Saccharomyces cerevisiae S288C: one gene and its partners. The gene in region 2 interacts genetically with the main gene of each other region. Each region holds a gene or a part of one and is shown on either strand. Other genes may lie near its edges.

Region 1 (6,732 bases), on a different chromosome or scaffold from region 2:
AAATTATGCAATTGGAAAAGGCCATTTAATTTAAATGGTTTCGACTTACTTAACAAAAACCTGCCACCAAAAATAATAACGTAATAGGCAGTGATGGCGTATAGCACAGGGGGCAAAGTGCTTAATGGTAATTCACCTGCAATGAATTGGAATTCGCTTGGAACAAATCTACCGTTAGTTACACGAGTGACGACATCATCGAAATGTTCCCACAACGAAATATTAAAAAATGGTCGCTCCAAAGTTGGTAAATAGTCATGAAGTTGGGGATAACGCTCGAACAACGGAGCAGCATATTGAGTAACGAGTGAATTCATGGCTTCTAGACGAAGATAATTAGTTCAACCTTTTCACTTTGTACAAAATTGCTTGTGGATAATAGTGAAATGAAAAATATTTTCCAATTTTTCATTGACTTTTTCGCGATGTTTATTTCTCTGTGGGTTTTGCGATTTTCAGCAATGGCCGCACGCCAGGACATGTGAATACGTACAAAAATAAAATGTGACATATTTACACGACACTTAAATAAAGTCGTTTAAAATCGGAAAAAACTGTATAATGCAGAAAAAATACGAAATTACAATTATAATTAAAAACTCCTCCCTTTATATATATACATATATATATATATAATATAGTACACTAACACACGTAAGGTAATGTATGCTCGAGAGTTTCACCAACCATTGGATGGAAAAGAAGTAGAGCATATGTATTGCCCGTCTCAGCCGTTTGTTCAATTATTATTTTCCTTTTTAGATAAAAAACTGCTCATTGCATCTGGCGCGGAGGCAACCGCAGCCAAAGCTGCCAACGGATCATTCGAAAAATTGAACTTTGGAGGCGCACGACTTATTGGACTAGTGCGAGGGGCCGGTAAAGGGAAAGTAGGAGTGCCTTGAGAAATAGCATGCTGAAATGGCAGCAACGGCCTTCCATCTGGGTTTGATTGCCCATTCCCATTTACAGGATTTAGTAATGCAGAAATAGAACTCGATCTTGGCGTAGTAATATTCGGTTTTATTTCTTGTACTACAATATTGTTCATGCTGGGAGTGTCTTCGAGCTGTGCTTCGTGTCTTGAAGCGCTTTGGAAAGAAGATTTCATGCTTCGATCCGAATTATTCAATAGATTGCTGATTGTCGTCGATTTACGGCCAATGTCAATTGCATTCCTTTCATTACTGAAGTTTTGATTATTTGTTACTGACGAAGCTGCATCAGCCAACGTGTCAATATGGTCTAAGGGCCTGTTACGCAAATCTGTCACTGTAGGTTCTGCCATTTCTGAACGAGGAAACTGAATAGATGGTAGTCTTGGTGGTGGTAAAGTGGTTAAAGGAGCACTAATTTTAGAAAAGGTATCACGATGAAAATCAGGCCCAAATGGTCTTATAGAGCCATCGATAGATGAAATAGATGTATTATGCCCATGAGTTGGTTGTCCAACAAAATAACCCAAAGCCGGTCTTTGTTGAGGAGGAATATTACTATAGGCATTGATGTTTGGTCGTTCTGGTTGTATCAAAATTTGAGATTGTTGTACAGATTCTGAACTAGTCCCATCTCGCTTTAAGTCGGTTTCATCAACCAGTAATTTCCATCCATTGCGAGCTGCATTTCTTTGGTAGTAATTCCTTACCATTGTAGTAGATTTGGTACCCAGTTTTTCTGATATGAGAGACCATTGAGAGCCAAACTCCTTCAACAATTCTGGAAAGAGTTGAGATTCACGAACACTCCAATAACTTGTTTTATGCTCTGGTGCAGATTTGTGTTTCTTTCTCTGTAACGCATTCTCTAAACTGAAGTCAAGTTCTTTGGTCTCCTCTGGATAATAACCATTCTGAACAGCTCCTTTTGGATCCATTATTTGTACCCCATTGTTGGTTTCTATTACACTGGACTTATTGCTCTCTTCTCCAACTTCATCATGCGCCCTTTTTAAGTCGTTTACCCTCTCAGCATTTTCCAATTCACCTGCAAACTCTTCGCCTCTCTGTTCAATCATATTTTCAACTTTTTCCGGTGTACCTAATGGATCACCTTTCACTTCAGAACCTTGAACTAGAACCGGCTGAACATTTTCCTCGGCATTGTTCTCACTTTTTTCTTCCTTCTCTATCGTGTTCGTTGACTCTTCTTTACTCTCATCAACTTCGACTTCCTCGTCATTACTTCTTTCCTTCCTCTTGCGGCGCTTGGCAGCGGCTGACATTTTTCTTTTCTTGTTCTTATCGATAAGAAGTTGTTTATAATTCACAGTTTTCTTTGTTCTATAATAATGTAGGACACACTCTTCAGGACTTCTTAAGCCGCCCATGTAGTGAGAAATTTTACCAAATTTTTTAGGATGAATTAAATAACCCTCCAAAAATAAAGAGTGCTCATGGTCAGTAAAGTTGTCAGAGGCGTCTTTCAATATTCTAGACGCCCAAAGCTTTTTGTCTGTAACCAAGTTATTTACATCACAGAATTTGTAAGAGTGTTTGCGGATTGGATCTAAAATTAGCGGAGGAATTGTTGCAGCAGCCTGATAATGTTTATAATTTGGGTCGATTTGTAGCAATACATTTTCCATTTCCGCATCATCAACGAAGTCAGCCCTATTTCTGCGACGAGATGAGGAAGACGAGGATGGATGCCGTAAGCTTTTTTCCTTTTCTGTTTCGATACCTTCTTCACGTCTTTTCTGCTCCATTAGTTCGTGCTCTTTACGTTTATTTTCGATTTCTTCCTTCCTTAAATTTTCACTCAGTTTAGTCAAAATTTCGCATTCTTTTTCATACTTCTTCTGGAGATCGAAATAATCATGTTTTAAATTTATTTTTTTCAAATGTTCTTCCTTTTTTATCTTTGATATAATTTTCGTCAAGATAAGTCCGGTAGCCTGCTGATGTATAAGTTTGTTCTGTGCGTAAAAAGGATACTCTGAGAAATTCCTAATTGCCTTTTTCAGTAAGTACTTTTGTTCACTTATTATTTTGTTTCTTTTCTGGTTTTTCAATTCCCATAATCTCGTTTCTGCTTTTGGTAATGGGAAAATACACCCCTCCACTTTTTCAAGAGGTTCTTCGTAACTTTTATTATCATTGTCTACTGTCAACTTTGTTACGTCTGTTTTCAGGGCTTTCGGATCGTATGCTCTTTCATAATCTCTAATTTCTGGGCTTTCCTTCCTTTCAACAGAGCGTGTTAGTTCCTTTTGACTTTCTTTGGAAACTTCGACTGCACTGGCCACTGTTTTTGCCGTCGTCCAAATTTCGTCCTGCTTTCCATCAATATTGATTTTACTTACTTTTTTAGCGCGAGCTTCTAGTTCATCATGCTCTTTCATTTTTACAGGAGTAGGATGTTCCTTTGCTATCTCACGCCCACTTTTATGTACTTCTTTTTTCCCCAATGCATCTTCTTCGCCAACCTTGATATTATCGGGTTCTAAAGGTGCATTAGGTTTAGAAACTGATTTTCTTGGTGGAAAATTGTTATCATGGTACGATATGGCTTTTGTCTCATCTTTACTGGGTGTTTCAACTTTAACTGAAGCCTCTGGTTTGTCCAATTTATTCGCATCGTGAAATTTTTTAGTATGAAGGGAAGGCGATGACTGTGAATGAGTTGATTTTAAAATAGTAGTACTATTTGCTTTCCAAAAAGGTTCCCTTTGATGGATCGAGTTAGTATTGCTGGTGGTCGTCATATTGCCGACATGATTATCAAATGGTGGTCTGGAAGGCGTTCCAATGGATCTCCATTTGTTGCTCCTAGAGTAATAAGAATGAGGGCTGTTATTATTAACAGATGAAACATTATTTGTTTCGAGCTTGTTCGTTACATCAGGACTATAATCATCCATTGATCGAGGTCTCCGAGAACTCCCGTTGGCAACATAAAACGGTGGAGCGTTTGATAATGCCGAGGGAAAGTGGGTAACGTTTGTAGAACTAGTAGATTGAGGATTATATCTGCTCATGGTTTTTCGAGAATAGCGTGAGTTTCCGATATCCGTATTGGTGTGTGTTATGGTGCTCGTATTCATACTTTCCGGAGTTGAACTAGTGGTTGAAGAGGATCTTTCCACATCTGGGTTATAACGGCTTCCAATTTTTCTTGTTGACGAATAAGATGATGACGAAGGCCTACTGACTGAGCTCGGATCATATCGAGATGGCCTGGGTGCTTCGATACCAAACGTGCTTCCAGGTGCCGCTGTAGGAAGAGGTACAGATGCAGTACTGGGAGTTACAGACGGATTTGTTGAATTATCGGCAGTAGGAGAAGATACAAATCCATTATTGCTTGATTTTGGAAAGCTATTCTTGGAATAAACAGCGGAAGGATGCCTTCGGTTAGGATTATTGGAATAATGGTACCTTTTCTTATCTCCAAGCCTTCGTGTAGGTGGCGGATACCCCATGTTTCTTACGCTTTGTTTCTGTTTGCTGTTCTATGCACAAGTTAGTAGGCAAATTATTAAGCAGGCCCTTTCGGAATAATTTAGTGGTTGTATATTTTGCTTGTTAAGGATTCGAGCAATATGACGGCTTCTTTCCCACTGCCTGTCTTAAACAATGAGTAAATTTGAAGGTGGTGCACAAAGTCAATAGTAATCCGAATTTCTGGTCTCTATTAAATCTGCGGTTGCGTTTTGATTTTTACATAATTCAAAGAAGAATTAATCGTTTGTTTTTTTCTTTTACCCTTTTGCCGTTTTCCATAGGCGAAATGGAGAAGAAATACTAGAAAAAAATACCCGGCGTTGGTAATGATATTGGATACGTACGCAATTACAATACTAGATGGGATGAGAAATCAGTTTCAAAAGTAAAGATATAAACTACAAAAATTGAATCATTTAAAGAAAGGCGTTACGATGTGATGCCTAGTACCAAATAGCTAATCTGCCATCTAATGTTCCCGCAATCACTTCTATCTCATGAGGCTCTGCTGTATCCTTGCGTCTTTTCTGGGACAGGTATGTCTTCCCCTGTCCCTTAATGCTAGTTATGGCTTTCCCTTTTTCGGTACAGAGCTGCTTCAGTAGCTTTATCGCCCATTCATTATGAAAATTCAAAAAGAGCTCGTAAATTTCTATAGTTCCATCTTCAAAGCCCACTAGTAGTATTTCCATCTCTTTCCAATAGATATGCTTTCTGTAACCTGCGTCTAACTTAGTGAAGTCAAAAAAATCAATTGAGCTTACAATTTTAGCTGGTTCGAATTTCTTTGATGTATATATTTGTCCATTTAGATTGAAGATCGAAATGGCGTTATTCTTAGTCAATACCATAATGCTCCCTGCATGTTGAGATATTGCGACCTTTTGCGCATCATTTGTTATTTGCCTTACTAGTTCGAAATTAATCATGTCCCAGACATATACTAAGCCGCTGATGTCTAAGGTTAAAAGCGTATTGTAGTCGTGATAACAGCGCATCTCCTTTAGCTCGCATAGGTGCCCAAACATTGTTTTTTTGTTCTCAAGGTTACCTGAAACCGAATGCTTATCTTTACGATATTTCCAAACTTTTATCAGCCCATTTTTATCGCCAGTTATGAATTCGCCCAACTTCCAGTACGCAAACGATGTAATCTGAGCCATATGCGTCTTTTTAAAAATATCTAGTCCAATTTTTAACCAATTTTTATGCACAATTCTCAATGACACTAACGATTCTTCCGTTCTGAAAAACAAGTTTGGGAAAGCGAAGCCCCTCCAGTATAATGAATCGAAGTAACTAGGATCGTGTATAACATAATCGACGGACCTGTTCTTTTCATTCAAATTAAAGATTGTCTTCTCAAATATTGGCTTCATTGGAACCTTACGCCATACCTCTGTTGTTAGCTGTTGAACATTGCAGGCTATTTTTTCCGGATGAGGTTCCTGAAATATTTGTAAAGGCGTTTGACCAAAGTTGTGAATAATGCCTGTGATAGCTCTGCGCTCATTTTCATCGTCAATGTTATCTAGATTTACAGCGCCTGGGTAACTCAATCTGTTGAATACGTTAACAGATTTCACAGCAATGTCCCCCTTTTGTTTGTAACCAAATATCAAATCAATCCATTCATGTAAATGTGCTGATACATAAGGACTTTCTAAAGCTTCTCTATTCTTTTGAATGAAAACCTTTGGGTCACCATTTGCCCAGGGTGGAAGTACGACGTCGTCAACTTTTTTACCGCTTTGGTCTGTACCAAAGTCATAACTATTAACGTTGATCAAAAATTCAGGTAGAAAAAAAAATTCAGGTGTCAATTCCCTGACATCCGTTGTATTTTCAGAAGAAGCAGAGCTCCAGGCCCTTTCAAGCGAACTAAATAAACGATCTGCAGGGCCAAAACTTCCGCCTTGCAATAACAAAAAGGATTCGACAAAGGGCTTCAGCCTTATCAGATATGAAGATACTATCATAGCTGAGGAATAATGCGTGCCATAATGAAATGGTGCGGAATCAGCATTTTCCAGGGAAGCCAAAGCTTCATAACGCTCTATAAACTGTAATTTCCTTTTCTCACTTTGAGCGCCCATAGGTTTCGATAGGTCCCGGTAAGTTTTAGGATTCTCTAAATCGAGTACGTTACTTTCGTAATCTGCAATAACCCACGGAAACACTGGATATTGGGTCAAATCGTTGAATGACCTTCCCGCTAGGATGTTGATACTCAACAGGTAATAAAAATTAGAAATCTCTCCCCTAACCCATTTTTTGCTGATCTCAAATC
Region 2 (4,762 bases):
ATGAAGAGAATGGGTAAACTCCACAGGATTTTCAATTCACCAGACATATACGTGGTGATTGCAACACCAACAACGAATAGCGCGGCAGGAATATAGATCCCGTGGACAGGTTCGTCTAGAATGTTAGTTCCTTCTATGTCTTCTTTTGACATTTTCTTCACGCGGTTCTTGGAGTGCTTCCTTTTTTGTGATAAGTTTGGGTGGCAACGAGATGAGCTCAAAACTCTTTGTTTTTTATGGGTATTTTTGTCTTAGAATATTTTCAAATTTTTCAATATTCCGCGGAACATAGGGAAAAAAATAAATTTAATAAGCTATTGTTCTAACTGTACACCTAAAGGTAAGTGAAAAATAATTCGATAATTAGAGGTATCTTTATTTGGATAGAATATGCATATATATATATAAGCGTATATATATATATATATATATATGTATATACATATGGACATTAAGTAAATATAAATCTATAAGTGGGTATCGGGATCAGAGCCACTTTCTTAGAACTCCTCAGCGTAAGAATCGGCACCCACTTCAATATAATCTCTTTCTAAGGCAGCTAAATCTTCTCTAGCTTCGGTGAACTCACCTTCTTCCATACCTTCACCGACATACCAATGGACGAAAGCACGTTTGGCATACATCAGGTCGAATTTCTGATCGATTCTCTTCCAAGCGTCCGCGATGGCAGTGGTGTTGGATAGCATGCAGACAGCTCTATCCACATTGGCTAATTCGGAACTTGGTATCACACTTGGTGGCTCATAACAAATACCAATCTTAAATCCTGTTGGACACCAATCCACCATTTGTACTGTTTTTTTATTCTTCACCTGTTCGACGGCTCTTTGGACATCTCTGGTCACCACGTCACCTCTGTATAACAAACAGTTAGCCATGTACTTCCCCTTTGTTGGGTCACACTTAACCATTTGATTGCCCGGTTCGAAACAAGCGTTTGTGATTTCTGACACGGAGTTGGATTCATGGGTGGCCCTCTTCTTGGACAAGATGGGTGCGTAGGAAACCAAAGGGAAATGAATTCTTGGATATGGTACCAAGTTGGTCTGAAATTCGTTCAAATCCACGTTTAATGAACCATCGAACCTCAAAGAGGCTGTAACAGATGATATCACTTGGGCAATCAACCCGTTCAAGTTGCTGAAGCTTGGTCTAGAAATTCCCAAGTTCCTCTTGCATATATCGTAAATGGCTTCGTTATCGACCATAAACGTACAGTCTGCGTGTTCCAGGGTGGTATGCGTGGTTAAAACCGTGTTGTAAGGTTCCACGACGGAAGTAGACAATTGAGGCGCAGGATAAACGGCGAATTCCAATTTGGATTTCTTCCCGTATTCATACGATAAGTTTTCTAATAACAGGGAACCTAAACCGGAACCAGTTCCACCACCGAGGGAGTGGGTGAACAAGAACCCTTGTAAACCGTCACATTGGTCGGCCATCTTTCTAATTCTTTCTTCAACTTCATCCACTATTTCTCTACCCACTGTATAATGGCCTCTTGCGTAGTTATTGGCGGCATCTTCCTTACCGTTAATCAATTGTTCTGGATGGAAAAGCTCCTTGAAACGTCCTGTACGTACTTCATCGATAACATTGGGCTCTAAATCCACGTAGATTGCTCTTGGGACGAATTTTCCGTACCCCGTTTCATGGAAGAATGTAGAAAATCCTTCTTCACCTCCCTTAGGTTTTGACAAGCCATCCTCCAAATGGCCGTCTTCCTTGATGCCATGCTCTAGGGAGTACAATTCCCAGCATGCATTACCTATTTGACAACCTGCTTGACCAACTGTTGTAAAAAAGAAAAATAACAAAAGTTCCAGCAATCCTCCGAAGAAGAAGACACAAAAATCACTCCCCATGTAATGAGGTCAATTATGAGCTTTTTCGTCCGAGTATGCCCAGAAAAAATGGAGAAAAAGAAACTGTTAGTAAACTGTGCTGGTACAAGTCAAATTATTTGCCGTAAATCAACCAGATGGTGACCAATTGGGAATGAATCAAACCAGATCAGATCAAACTTCTTTCCCTGTCCCACAGGTGCCATTGGTTGCGAATATTGAACAAAAAAAGGAACGCATACATACCATTAATACTAATGACCTCTCTCATTGTCTCAAGTCGCTTGCTTAGTCGATTAATGTACTTTATGAGATACCTGATCTGTGTTTATATTTCTTTTAGATGTGCAATTTGTAAAACGTTTCGTGGTTTCCAGAGGCTCGAGAAATGATATGTCGGGTAACGTCTGGAACTAAAAAAGAAAGGACGATATGCTCTGCTCTGGCACCAGCCAACAGGATGGCAGAGAGATGTGAGGAAATAATGAAATTAAAAGAAATTATCGAATAAATATGTAACCTGACAGTATTTATAGATTATGTAAGGGGTTTGATAATAAGTTTATAAAAATGTTTTTGTATTATTTGTTCTAGTTTACAAGTTTTAGTGCATCTTTGAGGCTTTTATGCTTCATGTTGAAGTTGAGATGGGCTGGAAGATTCAATGTCATTATTCTTGTTTCTGAAGTTTAGCGTAGCAGGATCGATTTCATCGTGGTATAGCTCGTTAATTTCTTCTAGAGTCTTTCTCTTAGTTTCTGGGATCAACAAGGTTGTGAAGATACCCAACAACATGAATAAGGCGAAAATTTCCATGACGTGAGGTAACCAACAGTTGGTTGGCTTACCGTCTCTAGCACAGTTATGGTCGATTAGAGTACCCAAAGCGGTTTGTGCAATAATGGCACCGACCTTACCAGATGCAGCAGAAATACCATGAGCAGTAGATCTGTAACGAGTTGGGAAACACTCACCAGGAACAATAAAGGTGGTTGTGTTTGGACCGAAGTTTTGGAAGAATTGACAAATGACGTAAAGAGCCAACAGACCATGGTCACCAAGTTTATGGTATGCGAAACCGATGACACAGAACAAAGCGGTCAAGATGATGAAACCGGCTAATTGAATTGGTTTTCTACCGATTATATCGACAGTGAAGACGGATACCCAGTAACCAGGTAATGAACCAGCACAAATCAAAATCAGATTACCGACAGCAGTATCATACAGTTTCTTGTAAACGTTTTTGGAACCGGCATAACCGATGGTTTGCAGAATAACAGCACTGTTTAAACTCAACCCGTAGAAAGCAACATCTAAGGTAAACCATGAACCAGCAGTACCTAGCAAAATCTTACCGTACTTCCATTGACCAAAATGTCTGCAGAAATCTTTGAACGAAGCCTTTGGAGGATGATTGTCAAGAGATTCGACGGCAGTAGAAGCTCTTTCCAAACCGTTAATTGCCATGTCTTCATCACTGGTGTCGTGAATTTTCTTTTCGCCATCTTGTTCTTGTGCGGCAGCAGCAAGTTCCAACTTAGCGTTAACATCCAATTGATATCTAGGAGATTCTGGAATAGTTAATCTGAAATACAAACATGCCAACCCTAGAACGGTACCCAACCCAATAAGGATTCTCCACATTTGGTCACAAGCCTTTTGACATCTAGCATCACATTCAGCACCAGAGTTTGCGTATTCTAGTTCGCCCTTGTAAGCAGCAACCAAGATAAGAGCGATGATACCACCGGAGATTTGACCCCAAGCTTGGTTAGCAAAGACAGCACCCATGATGGCACCTCTCCATTTGGTAGTGGCAAATTCAGAAGTAATAATAGAAGATAGTGGGTAGTCACCACCGATACCAATACCCATGACAATACGGTAGAATGTTAAAACAGCAACGAAGTTAATAGCAGGAGAATGAGCAACAGTGGTTTGCAGAATGGTACAGACAATCATGATAATAAGTTCCATACCATAAATTCTCTTACGACCAACAATATCAGCTAAAGTACCAAAACCAAATTGACCAATAACAGTACCAACAGAAGTGGAAACCTTCAACAAGGTTTGACTTGGACCTGGCATACTACCGTGCCAGTAAACGTAGGACATCATAGTGATACCCAAATTAATGGCAAAAATATCATAAGAATCTGTCAAGAAACCAACACCAGCAATGGAGATGGTCTTAACTTGTTGCCAACCGAAACCTTCGTCATCGATGGACTCCAAAGCCAATCTTCTTCTTTCCAGAGGATCTTCAATATGAGCAAAATCATTCAAATGGTTGTGGAAGGCCATGTTACCACCTTCGGTAAGGTGTTCTTTATGAAGACTTCTTTCAGCAACATGAATAGTATCTTTATTGACGGAACTCATTTGGATTGTATTCGTGGAGTTTTGTTTGTTGTGTGCCCTGGTGATCTACGAGATGAGGAAAGATAAAATTTAGAAGTGAACTTAGAACTTTACTTTATACAAGAGATGAGGATGAGCTTATATATATACGTATACGAGCCACAATAGTAAGTGGATCTAAGTTGGCATTACCGGTGTGCAATGTGGTTGCATCATGCTGCCAAAAAGGAATAATAATTAGCTCATAGATGAGGTCGGTTAATTAATGAGTAATACGCACGTTTTTAATCTAGCTAATAAGCAGGCAAAACGGGAGAAGAGGGATAAGGAAAGCCTTTCACACGACATTTGGTGCATAACTGCACCGATCTCACTGATTTCGATGGACTGCGGCGAACCATAATCAATTGCCGTCGCTAATTTCCGCCCCACGTGCTGGAAATAACACGTCCACGTGGAACTATTAAATTGGCATCGGGCGGTGCGGCAGTGAGAGGAACGGGTGTTTTTCAGCCGGGCAACATTTTCTT
Region 3 (4,534 bases), on a different chromosome or scaffold from region 2:
GGGTATACTGTCAACCACAACATTGTCCCGGAAAATGCACCAAATAAGCATAATTTCCAAGGAGGAATTTCGTTTCTTGTTAGTCCCGTACCAATTTCTCTGGCAACCAATGCTTCGTAGACAAGAAAATATGTACCAAGCCCATGTCCGGCTCTTATCATTGTGGGAAATAAACCCCTCATCAATCCACCTTGAGCTTTCAATTTTTTAATACAGTCCCAAGGACCTTTGAATTCTCTGTCTCCACCATTAGATGTTTGCGTCTGCAAACGAATTCTTATTTGTTCAATGGGCGATGCCAAGAATGAATTGACTACACCACCTGTCAACCCACAAACGTAGTACTGGGATAGTGGCAGAGTATTTGAACGTGAAAGATCTACGTCCTGTGAGCTCATATTCGGGTTCTTAGAAGCGTTGTAATTTTGGAAAAATCTTTTCATCGCCTCATTCACACCAAATTGTACTGAGACACATATACCAACACCCAATAACGGTGTTAACGCACCTTTGTAGAATGCAAACACACCCTCATTCTTTACCAAGTTACGCAATACCTCCAACGTTGTTGTTCTTGTGGTGGCTGTTTGAAGCCTAACTTTTGTTGTATCAAACGGTTGCCCTACAAGAACTTGTGCAATACCACCGATGGTACCCGCAAAAATATCCTTCAACACACGATTAGAACTTAACTCTCTCTTCTCATTCGGCGTGGTAACTTTCTGTTGATCTTCCAATTCATCCAAAAGCTGCGGCGTAGGAAATTCTTCACTCATGACTAACTGTAATTGTAATACACGAAATTATTGCGCCGCTTTTTTCTGTTCTTTATGGCTACCCCTATTTATCAATTACAGTTGTATCATCCAAGAGGTGAAAACTAATTAAAGAAACTTATTTTAACACAAGGTATAAAAAATTATAAAAAAGCAATGCTCATTGTCTTCTCTCATCGCGAGCGGCCGTTATCTTCAAAGTGATGACTCTTCGAGATTCCTGCACAACGTCACTCAAAGGCGGCCCGCGACGTTTTCCATTGCGAAATTTTTCACTTTTCACCTTTTGTAAACAAAGAAATAACAATAAGAATGATAAAATTCATCTGTTTATGTACTGTACCTAGTTATTATATGGCTACAACTGAACCTTCTTGAAGCGAGTATGCTACAGAAATCTTGTTTCCCGCACAGTTCCATGACAGATCAAATATATAATCATTGTCTTGGCTGCTTTGGTAGCTAGCGTAGAGGGGAATTGGTAATGGATTCAAAATCCCATCACGGTTACCATAAAGACTTCGTGACTTGCTGTTCAGTTTTTTTAAATCGTAGACGTTTACCTGCCCATCCATGAAAGCAACTGCGTACTTCTGTCCATCTTGTGATATTCTTCCAGCAAAAATTGGGACACCATCCACGATTGATAGAGCCAATAGCGTATTCTGCTTCAGCGACCATAGGCGAACGGAGCCATCCATCGAGCAGGATATTACCTTATCATCACCGACCCATGATGCCGATACTATGCTTTGTGAGTGTCCGTAGAAGCAATTCTGAGAATTGCCGTTACCGCCATGCCATATTCTTAGAGTACCATCGTCTGAGGCACTAAGTAGAAGTTTATTGGTGTCATTGAACTCCAAAACGCTGATAGGTCCATGGTGTCCAATAAGTTTACCAGTGGGCGTTTTTTCTGTAATTTGGTATACAAATATAGCACCTTTAGGGCCAGGAATGACAAATTTGTCATCGTCTACCCATTCAACGTCAACCCCAAGTGAACCATCGCCACTATGGTTCTCTGCGTTGATGGATGAGCCACCGGTTTCTTTTAATTCAAAGTGCTGCATGACGGTCCCGCTTATAACATTCCAGAGTATAGTGACATTTTCCACGTCCATGGATATGATATGTGTTCCATCTTTGTTCCATTTAACGGATACTATAGGTGCTCTATGAAAATTTAAAACATTCAGAAGTGCCCCCGTCTTATTCCATAGTCTTAGCTCACCATTTTCTACACCCGTGACAATTGAATTACCATCGTGTGACCAAGCAAGACATGTGACTTGATTCGTCGTTTTACCACTACTTGCACTCAGAGCAAAAGGATGTCTCAACTCCGCTATTATCGTGAGTTTCCAGTATTTTTTCCCTTCTTGATCGGTTTCTACTATCCTCGCTAGTCTTGCAACAGAATTTTTTTCACCGTATGCGAGTATAGATTCATCCAATGGATTCCAAGTGGAGGAAACAATATTATCTAATTTTACTATCTCCTTCAGTATTTTGACAAATCCGTCTAGGTCATCACTACTGTCAATAGAATTAGTATCGTCCTCTTGGGTTTCTCTTTCAACAGTACTAGCGCCATCTTCACCTGCTTTATTACTCTCGGAATTGGTTTCCAAAGTGAACCTTCCTTCAGAAGAGATCTCAGGAAATTTTTCTTTATCTATTTGCAGCGCCTGAACCAAATTGAAATCTTCAGAAAGATGATGTTCATTTAAAGCGCTGATATCACCTTTACTATCAACCATTAACTCACTTTCTGTATACAAGATTCCCCTTTGTACTAGATTCACCAGTGTACCCAAAGGAATGTGTTCTTTATACTTCTCATCAAATTCCAATACTCTTGTTTCATCCTGCAATGCTAATGCACTCACCTCGTGTCCCATCTCTTGACAATACCTCCATATCAAGTAGTTTAGTTCTTCACTTGTTATACTCATTTTCCGTGTGATGGGCCTTCCCTACCTTTTTTTTGTTTCTGTTATTTTTATCTGAGTTAGCAGTTGTTAGTGTGGGCTGTACACTTCTTTGGAAAAAAAAACCTTCAATTTCGCACCAAGGTGTTTAAATTGTTCTCACTAATTGCAAATCAAAACGAATGGTCTTGCATATCTCATAACCTTTTCAACATGAATACATTCCTAATCATTTTTGTTTATTTCTCGTTTGCTAAGTTCCGCTCCATGAAAATAGATGACTGGAAAAAGAGACTAGAGACTGCAGTTAATAGTATATTTGTAAGACCTTGAGCAAAGCCGAATGAACAAAAAGCCTTCATATTAGACCAGGTAAGAGACTGAAAGTTGAAATATTTGTACTGTGAAAATGGTTGAGTTTTCTTTGAAGAAGGCCAGAAACAATTGGAAGCATGTAAAGAAGTCTGCAAGCTCTCCTGCTAAGCAAAAGACACCTCCATCGCCTGCTAAGCCTAAACAAAAAACAAAAAAGAACCCTTATAGTGATCTCAAGGATCCGGCTACCAGTTATACGCTACCAACAATCAATGCAAGGGAGAGAAGTAGGGTAGCAACTTCAATGCAGAGAAGACTATCAATTCATAATACAAATTATGCTCCACCTACACTAGATTACTCAATGCCCCTACCTGATATGCCAAACATGATAGTTCCCAATGATAATGTGGATAGTAGTCATAATAATAGTAGTTTCACCACTGAGAACGAATCGGTAAGCTCTAAAGGCCCTTCCAACAGTTTAAATCTTTCAACTGCCGATCTCTCCCTGAACGACAGCTCCTATAATAAGGTGCCTGCTAGATCAGCAATGCGAAATACTGTCAATCCTTCCGGCAGTAATGATCCTTTCAATAATAGCACGTCGCTAAGAAAGATGTTGGCAAACCCGCATTTTAATGCTAAAGATTTTGTTCATGATAAACTAGGCAATGCGAGTGCCATTACTATTGATAAATTTACCTCAAATTTAACAGATTTATCGATACAGGTCCAAGAAGAAGTAAAGTTAAATATCAATAAATCATATAACGAAATCATGACGGTAAACAACGACCTAAATGTTGCTATGTTGGAGCTTAAAAGGGTTAGAGCAAATATAAATGATTTAAACGAGGTTTTGGATCAGTGCACCAAAATAGCTGAAAAAAGGTTACAATTGCAGGATCAAATAGATCAAGAGAGACAAGGCAATTTTAACAATGTTGAAAGTCATTCTAATAGTCCAGCGTTACTTCCGCCTTTGAAAGCAGGACAAAATGGGAATCTCATGAGGAGGGACAGATCGAGCGTCTTGATATTAGAGAAATTTTGGGATACGGAACTGGATCAGCTGTTTAAGAACGTTGAAGGTGCTCAGAAGTTTATCAATTCTACGAAAGGAAGACATATTTTAATGAATAGTGCCAATTGGATGGAATTAAATACTACCACTGGTAAACCCTTGCAGATGGTACAGATTTTCATTTTGAATGATTTGGTACTTATCGCCGATAAATCAAGAGATAAGCAAAATGACTTTATAGTAAGCCAGTGCTATCCTTTAAAGGATGTCACTGTCACGCAAGAGGAATTTTCCACTAAGAGGCTACTTTTCAAGTTTAGCAATTCGAATTCAAGTTTGTATGAATGTAGAGACGCAGACGAATGCTCTAGGTTGTTGGACGTTATAAGAAAGGCTAAGGATGATTTGTGCGACATATTCCATGTAGAAGAGGAGAACTCTAAACGTATTAGAGAGTCCTTTAGATATTTGCAATCTACGCA
Region 4 (4,804 bases), on a different chromosome or scaffold from region 2:
TCTGATATGAGTTCTATCCATGAAGAATTTTCAGGACCTGGTACTTCCTCATTCTCAGGGACAGGGGTAGGCTTCGGTATCCTTAGTGCATCTAGTAAGGAAGATCGTAGGGATGTATAACTTTGAATTATTTCACTGACCAGGAACTCACTTCTCAGCAAGGACTCTCTGAACTCGAAAAGGCAGAGAGGACAATTTGGTTGGTTATTCAAATGTGTTCTAATACAAAGGGAACAAAATGTATGGCCACAAGGTGTTAAGACGGGGACTTTTAGAAAATCTTTACAAATGTGACATCTCAAAAGTGTATCCAATTGGTACAGGCTCGGTATTGAAGTAGTCGTGAAGTCGCTTGCAGTGGTTATTTGGTGGTCCATGAGTAGTAAAAATGGCCTTTTCTTAGTAGCTGTGATGCTCACTTGCGGATGGTTTTTCTTCTAATGTGGCATTGCTCAAGTGGTACTTAGTTTTTCACTTTCTATTGAAAAATGCAAGGCAACGGGGCAAGTAAAAATAAAAGAGATCAAAAAGGTAAGTGAAGTGAATGGAAACTTCAGCTAAATACTGTATTAAAAATCCGTAAGGATCAAAAATAAAGATATGTAAAATATAAAACTTAGAAAAAAAATTTGTATCATTTTTGTTATGATTACAATTTTTTCCTGCCTCTTCTGCAATTGATTATACCATAGAAGAGCGGGAAAAGAAGTTAGTTGACCCGACAATACAATAAGATTAAAAAGAAAATGCTATGTGATATGATAACTCCAGCCCAGTTTAGGACTCATCCAACCGTTTGCGATGAATCCATCAGATTAAGAATAATTAGTTTTCGGTGAGGAAAAGAAAATGAAAAAAAAAAAAAAAAAAAGTCAATTCTTTTCATTACCGCTATCGTTGGAAGGGTGATTATGATAAGGATGATGTTTTTGATTGCTATCCGTAGTATTGTTACCATCAGAAATCTTTTCAGTTGCGCGCTTCCAAACAGAATAAACATCCACGCCAAACAGCCCGCTTGAAGCAAATTTGGAATTCGTTGCGCTTGTGAGGACATCGGGTGCAGAGGACTTTCTTGGTGAAATTTGGGTTTCCAAAGTGCCCCCCGGCGTCGTGATATACCTGATTGGAGTCTCTATAGCTCTAAATAGCGGAGAACAGTACAAATCTTCAAAAAGGTGTGAAGGAGTCTGCCATTTCCTCAAAATCGAGTTACCGTCCTTAGGTGTGCTTATCAACCGCGATGGGGTTTTCTCTAAGCCATCGGAATGCCTCATCTTGGGTGTTTTAAGTAAGTCCGAACCATGAGAGGAAGGTGGAGGTGGAAGTTGAGAATTGGAATATGATTGCTGAGATTGTGGTTTCGACATGAGCGCAAGATTTTTCTGATCGTACAGCTTCAATGGGGAATACGGAAGTGGGTCGAGTAGAGAACCAGCCCCTACATTACTTCGAAGTGGAGATAAATCTTCAAAATTTGAATTGAATGAGGTGAAATATTTTCTGAAATTCTGAGGAGACTTTGCGCTAGTTATAGGGAGTGTATTAAATCTATTTGCCTGGGTGATATTATTGTTTTTCACACCCGCCTGGAAATGATCTTTGGCATTCACCAGCGACGGTAAGCCTAAAGAAGTATGATATTTCTTCATGACATAAGGAGGTTCCAAGGAATCTATATTGTTGACATCGTTTTCTATCATGTTCCGCATCGATTCTAGGTTTTCGTGAGGGTTCAGTACACTGTTGTCTGTTTTCAATTGCGGTATGTGATGTAACTGGGAAACTCTCAGTATAGGGGAGGAGTTCAATTGAATTTCAATGGAAGGGAATTTCCCTGCTTCCTCTCTTTCTTCCTCGTCAGGAAGATCATCATTGCCTTCTCCACTCTCAACTTGTTCTAATTCATCAAGTGTAGAATCTATTTCAAAATACTTCCCAATGTCTTGTAAGGAGTCCTTTACAAATTCATAACCACGATTTTCACCTTTGAAAAATTTTGTTTCGGCACCCGGTCTGACCTCCCAGAAATGACCCTTACCATCGCAGGACTTTTCAGTCTTGATGAACGCATCATTTAAAGACAAGTTATGTCTTATTGAATTTTGCCAACTAGCATCTTTCTGCTTGTAATAAGGGAAGTGAACGTGGATCCAATGATATATCTGGGATAGCGTTAGCTTTCCCTCCTGAGATTGCAAAATGGCCAAGCAAATCAAAGTTGCATACGAATATGGAGGTTTCTTGGCGAGTTCACCATTTATTCTTCTTCTTTCCAAAGATTGAAGAATTTCTTCCAAGGTTAGGTTACCATTGGACCGAGCGCATGTGTCCGATCTTTGGCGCTTGGCCTTAGATGGAGCAATTGGGGACGAGTGATCCGGTGAGAGGGGATGCGACGGCCTCTTATTTACTTCCTTCATTGTTTTTCTCACAGTTGAGCTCGGGGGAGTAATCATTTCCTTTTCGTCTTCTAGTGTTCTCTTGGCTTGGGTTAATAGCACGGTGCTTTTTTCCGTTAAAAAACTATTATGGCCATCAATGATGGATATGTCTTCATTCATCATTGAAAAGTTGGAATTTTTGTTGATTTTTTTTTTTTTTGCTTCGAAATAAGAGGTAGTTTCGGTCAATAAAAGAAGCTCAAATAGTAGATGTAACTATAATAAAAGGGGGGAAAAGAATAGAATACGATTTAAAGCGTTGGAACCTCTGTTAAGATATACTCTATATGATTTTCAATTAATCATGCAACATATATTTAAAGTTTGAGAAGGATCAAAGGGCACCGTAAGGGAGGAGAAGAAGTAATTTTTTGATTTTAAATGAGGACGCGTTTTAGTCAGTGTTTCAGATCCTTATTACATCCACAGGTTTTAACGCGTTATCTTTGTTCCGAAAAAAAAAAAAAACGGAAAAATATATTTTTTCGCGTCGCGTTCTCGCGTCTGTTTTGTTTTTTCGCGTTCCAATGACCAAAATGGGAAAGTGGTCGTCTTTGACGAAGGAGACGAAAACCTCTTCTAAAACGTTGGGAGAGAGATAATTACATGGCCAGAACAATACTGCAACGTGCATATAGTCGTTAGTCTGTGCTTGCACATCCACGGCAGCCGCAGTGGACGCACTGATGGAAGGACACCTGTGTGCCCTTTTTGCGTGCTTCTTCCTCTAACTGTGCACGAGGCACCCTGCAGATGCAAGTGCTACCGTTGTTAGTTTCGTTCTTTTGAATGCAGCGCAGACAGCACAGTTTTTCATACCCGGTTTTGCGCCATTTGGCAATTAGCAATTTATCAGCATACTTTTCCTTTATCAACCAATCGTAAAGGTCTTTGGAGATGGCCTTTCTCTTGTAGTACAGAGTATATATGTATCTAGAGCGCTGGTGGTGGAGTTGCATTATCTCCCAGAGCTGCTCATTGGACTTTGCTGCGAGCTTAGACGACTTGTCCTTTTGGGCATCTCTGAGTTGGATTTCGAAATCTGTGAGGGTTGGCTTGATTTTTTCGAACCCGTCAGGTGCAGGCTTGGATCTTCTGGTCTTTATGCGCGGCATGTCGTTTTGTGAGGTGAGCTTTGCTAGTCTTGACGGCTGTAGAGGTGTTTACATTGATGATGAGTCCCTAAGAAAATTTTTCTTTTTTTTTCAGTATTTCACTTTCCGTTGTGAACGACAAATGTACTATGCGTTCAAGAGCCAACGCAGTATCATCGTCAAAGTTCCTACCACAACGCGTGTGATTGATCTTGTACTGGTTGTAAATGTGCTAAGTCTGTGACTGCAGTGAATAGGATTGTTTTAATCAACGATGTTATTTAAAAAAAATTAAACGACACCAGCAGGATTTGAACCAGCGCGGGCAGAGCCCAAGAGATAGCCGAACTTTTTATTCCATTCGAGTCTCTCGCCTTAACCACTCGGCCATAGTGCCATTTCGATTTGAAATTATGGTTTAAAGCGGTAGGTTTTATACATGTTTCTAGGCGTTTTTTCACAGATCCAAGACAGTAGAGCAGCTTGGCGTAGGTAGGATGGTGAGTAGAAAAACTAAAAAAAGAAAAAAGGAAGGAAGAACTTATTATACATTATGTAGAGTAACTAATTTTCATGTCTTTTGTGGATTATTTTACATTCTCAGAGAGAACCTCCAGTAGAGTCATTATACATAATATATTCACTTTTATCAGGTATGGGCCCTCAATAATCGTCATTGAACTCAATTCCAATGAGATCTTGCTTATTCATTTTTATAAATTTTGAGGAAGCGATAACGCATTCAGAATTGACTGAATGCTGGATAAACTAATAATTAAGAATTAAAAAGTAGGTGAGGAAAAGTAAAGCATATAAGCTTCTCACTCAAAGATGAGGGGGGGGTGAAAAAAAAAAGAAAAAAGAAAAGCCATTATGGCGGTTAAAGACTGGTTTTCCTGGTTTTGATGAGCCAGTCTTTCCAAATAAATAAAATCATTTCCCAAGCCATCAACAAAGAAACGAATCCAACACTGAGGTTGAAAGTGAACATGGGGGTAAACCCCCTATATTCCATGGCTTCAATGGACTGATCCGTGGACTCCATAAATACCAGACCACCACAGAGGAGACAGAACGAGGTGATCAACTCCGTGAAAGGCTTGGATGCGGCACTGTTGGTGTTGGGCACCAAAAACAGAATCAAAAATGTTAGCAGACGGAAGAAGGACCCATAGGACAACAAGTATCCCCATTGCGTGTGAATGGTAGTAGAAAATTGCGAGGACTGTGCGTGCTGGGACATCAGAATCCCAGTCCAAAATATGG

Evidence for each region.
Region 1: mutations in TUB3 (region 2) and SNT1 together harm fitness more than expected from each alone (negative genetic interaction), as found in Saccharomyces cerevisiae (3 studies listed by BioGRID).
Region 3: mutations in TUB3 (region 2) and SIF2 together harm fitness more than expected from each alone (negative genetic interaction), as found in Saccharomyces cerevisiae (3 studies listed by BioGRID).
Region 4: mutations in TUB3 (region 2) and HCM1 together harm fitness more than expected from each alone (negative genetic interaction), as found in Saccharomyces cerevisiae (4 studies listed by BioGRID).

Annotation. Positions count from the first base shown.
Region 1 is NC_001135.5:184,177-190,908, reverse strand, and holds SNT1 (Snt1p), read right to left. Parts: upstream 4,421-6,732; coding exon 740-4,420; downstream 1-739. Other genes in the region: fatty acid elongase ELO2, read right to left, coding at 1-317; BPH1 (Bph1p), read right to left, coding at 4,886-6,732. UniProt on the Saccharomyces cerevisiae protein: Part of the Set3C complex, which is required to repress early/middle sporulation genes during meiosis.
Region 2 is NC_001145.3:21,548-26,309, forward strand, and holds TUB3 (alpha-tubulin TUB3), read right to left. Parts: upstream 2,137-4,762; coding exon 2,112-2,136; exon of another isoform or gene 2,017-2,111; intron 1,814-2,016; coding exon 501-1,813; downstream 1-500. Other genes in the region: PGA3 (cytochrome-b5 reductase), read right to left, coding at 1-152; phosphate transporter PHO84, read right to left, coding at 2,490-4,253; YML122C (uncharacterized protein), read right to left, coding at 4,491-4,762. UniProt on the Saccharomyces cerevisiae protein: Tubulin is the major constituent of microtubules, a cylinder consisting of laterally associated linear protofilaments composed of alpha- and beta-tubulin heterodimers.
Region 3 is NC_001134.8:445,909-450,442, reverse strand, and holds SIF2 (Sif2p), read right to left. Parts: upstream 2,735-4,534; coding exon 1,127-2,734; downstream 1-1,126. Other genes in the region: YMC2 (organic acid transporter), read right to left, coding at 1-776; exocyst subunit EXO84, read left to right, coding at 3,120-4,534. UniProt on the Saccharomyces cerevisiae protein: Antagonizes telomeric silencing in yeast. May recruit SIR4 to non-telomeric sites or repression.
Region 4 is NC_001135.5:227,073-231,876, reverse strand, and holds HCM1 (Hcm1p), read right to left. Parts: upstream 2,568-4,804; coding exon 873-2,567; downstream 1-872. Other genes in the region: E3 ubiquitin-protein ligase RAD18, read right to left, coding at 1-377; U2 snRNP complex subunit BUD31, read right to left, coding at 3,086-3,559; TVS1 (Tvs1p), read right to left, coding at 4,419-4,804. UniProt on the Saccharomyces cerevisiae protein: Transcription factor regulating the cell cycle specific transcription of a spindle pole body (SPB) calmodulin binding protein SPC110. Required for full induction of SPC110 transcription in late G1. Binds to DNA consensus sequence 5'-[AT]AA[TC]AAACAA[AT]-3'.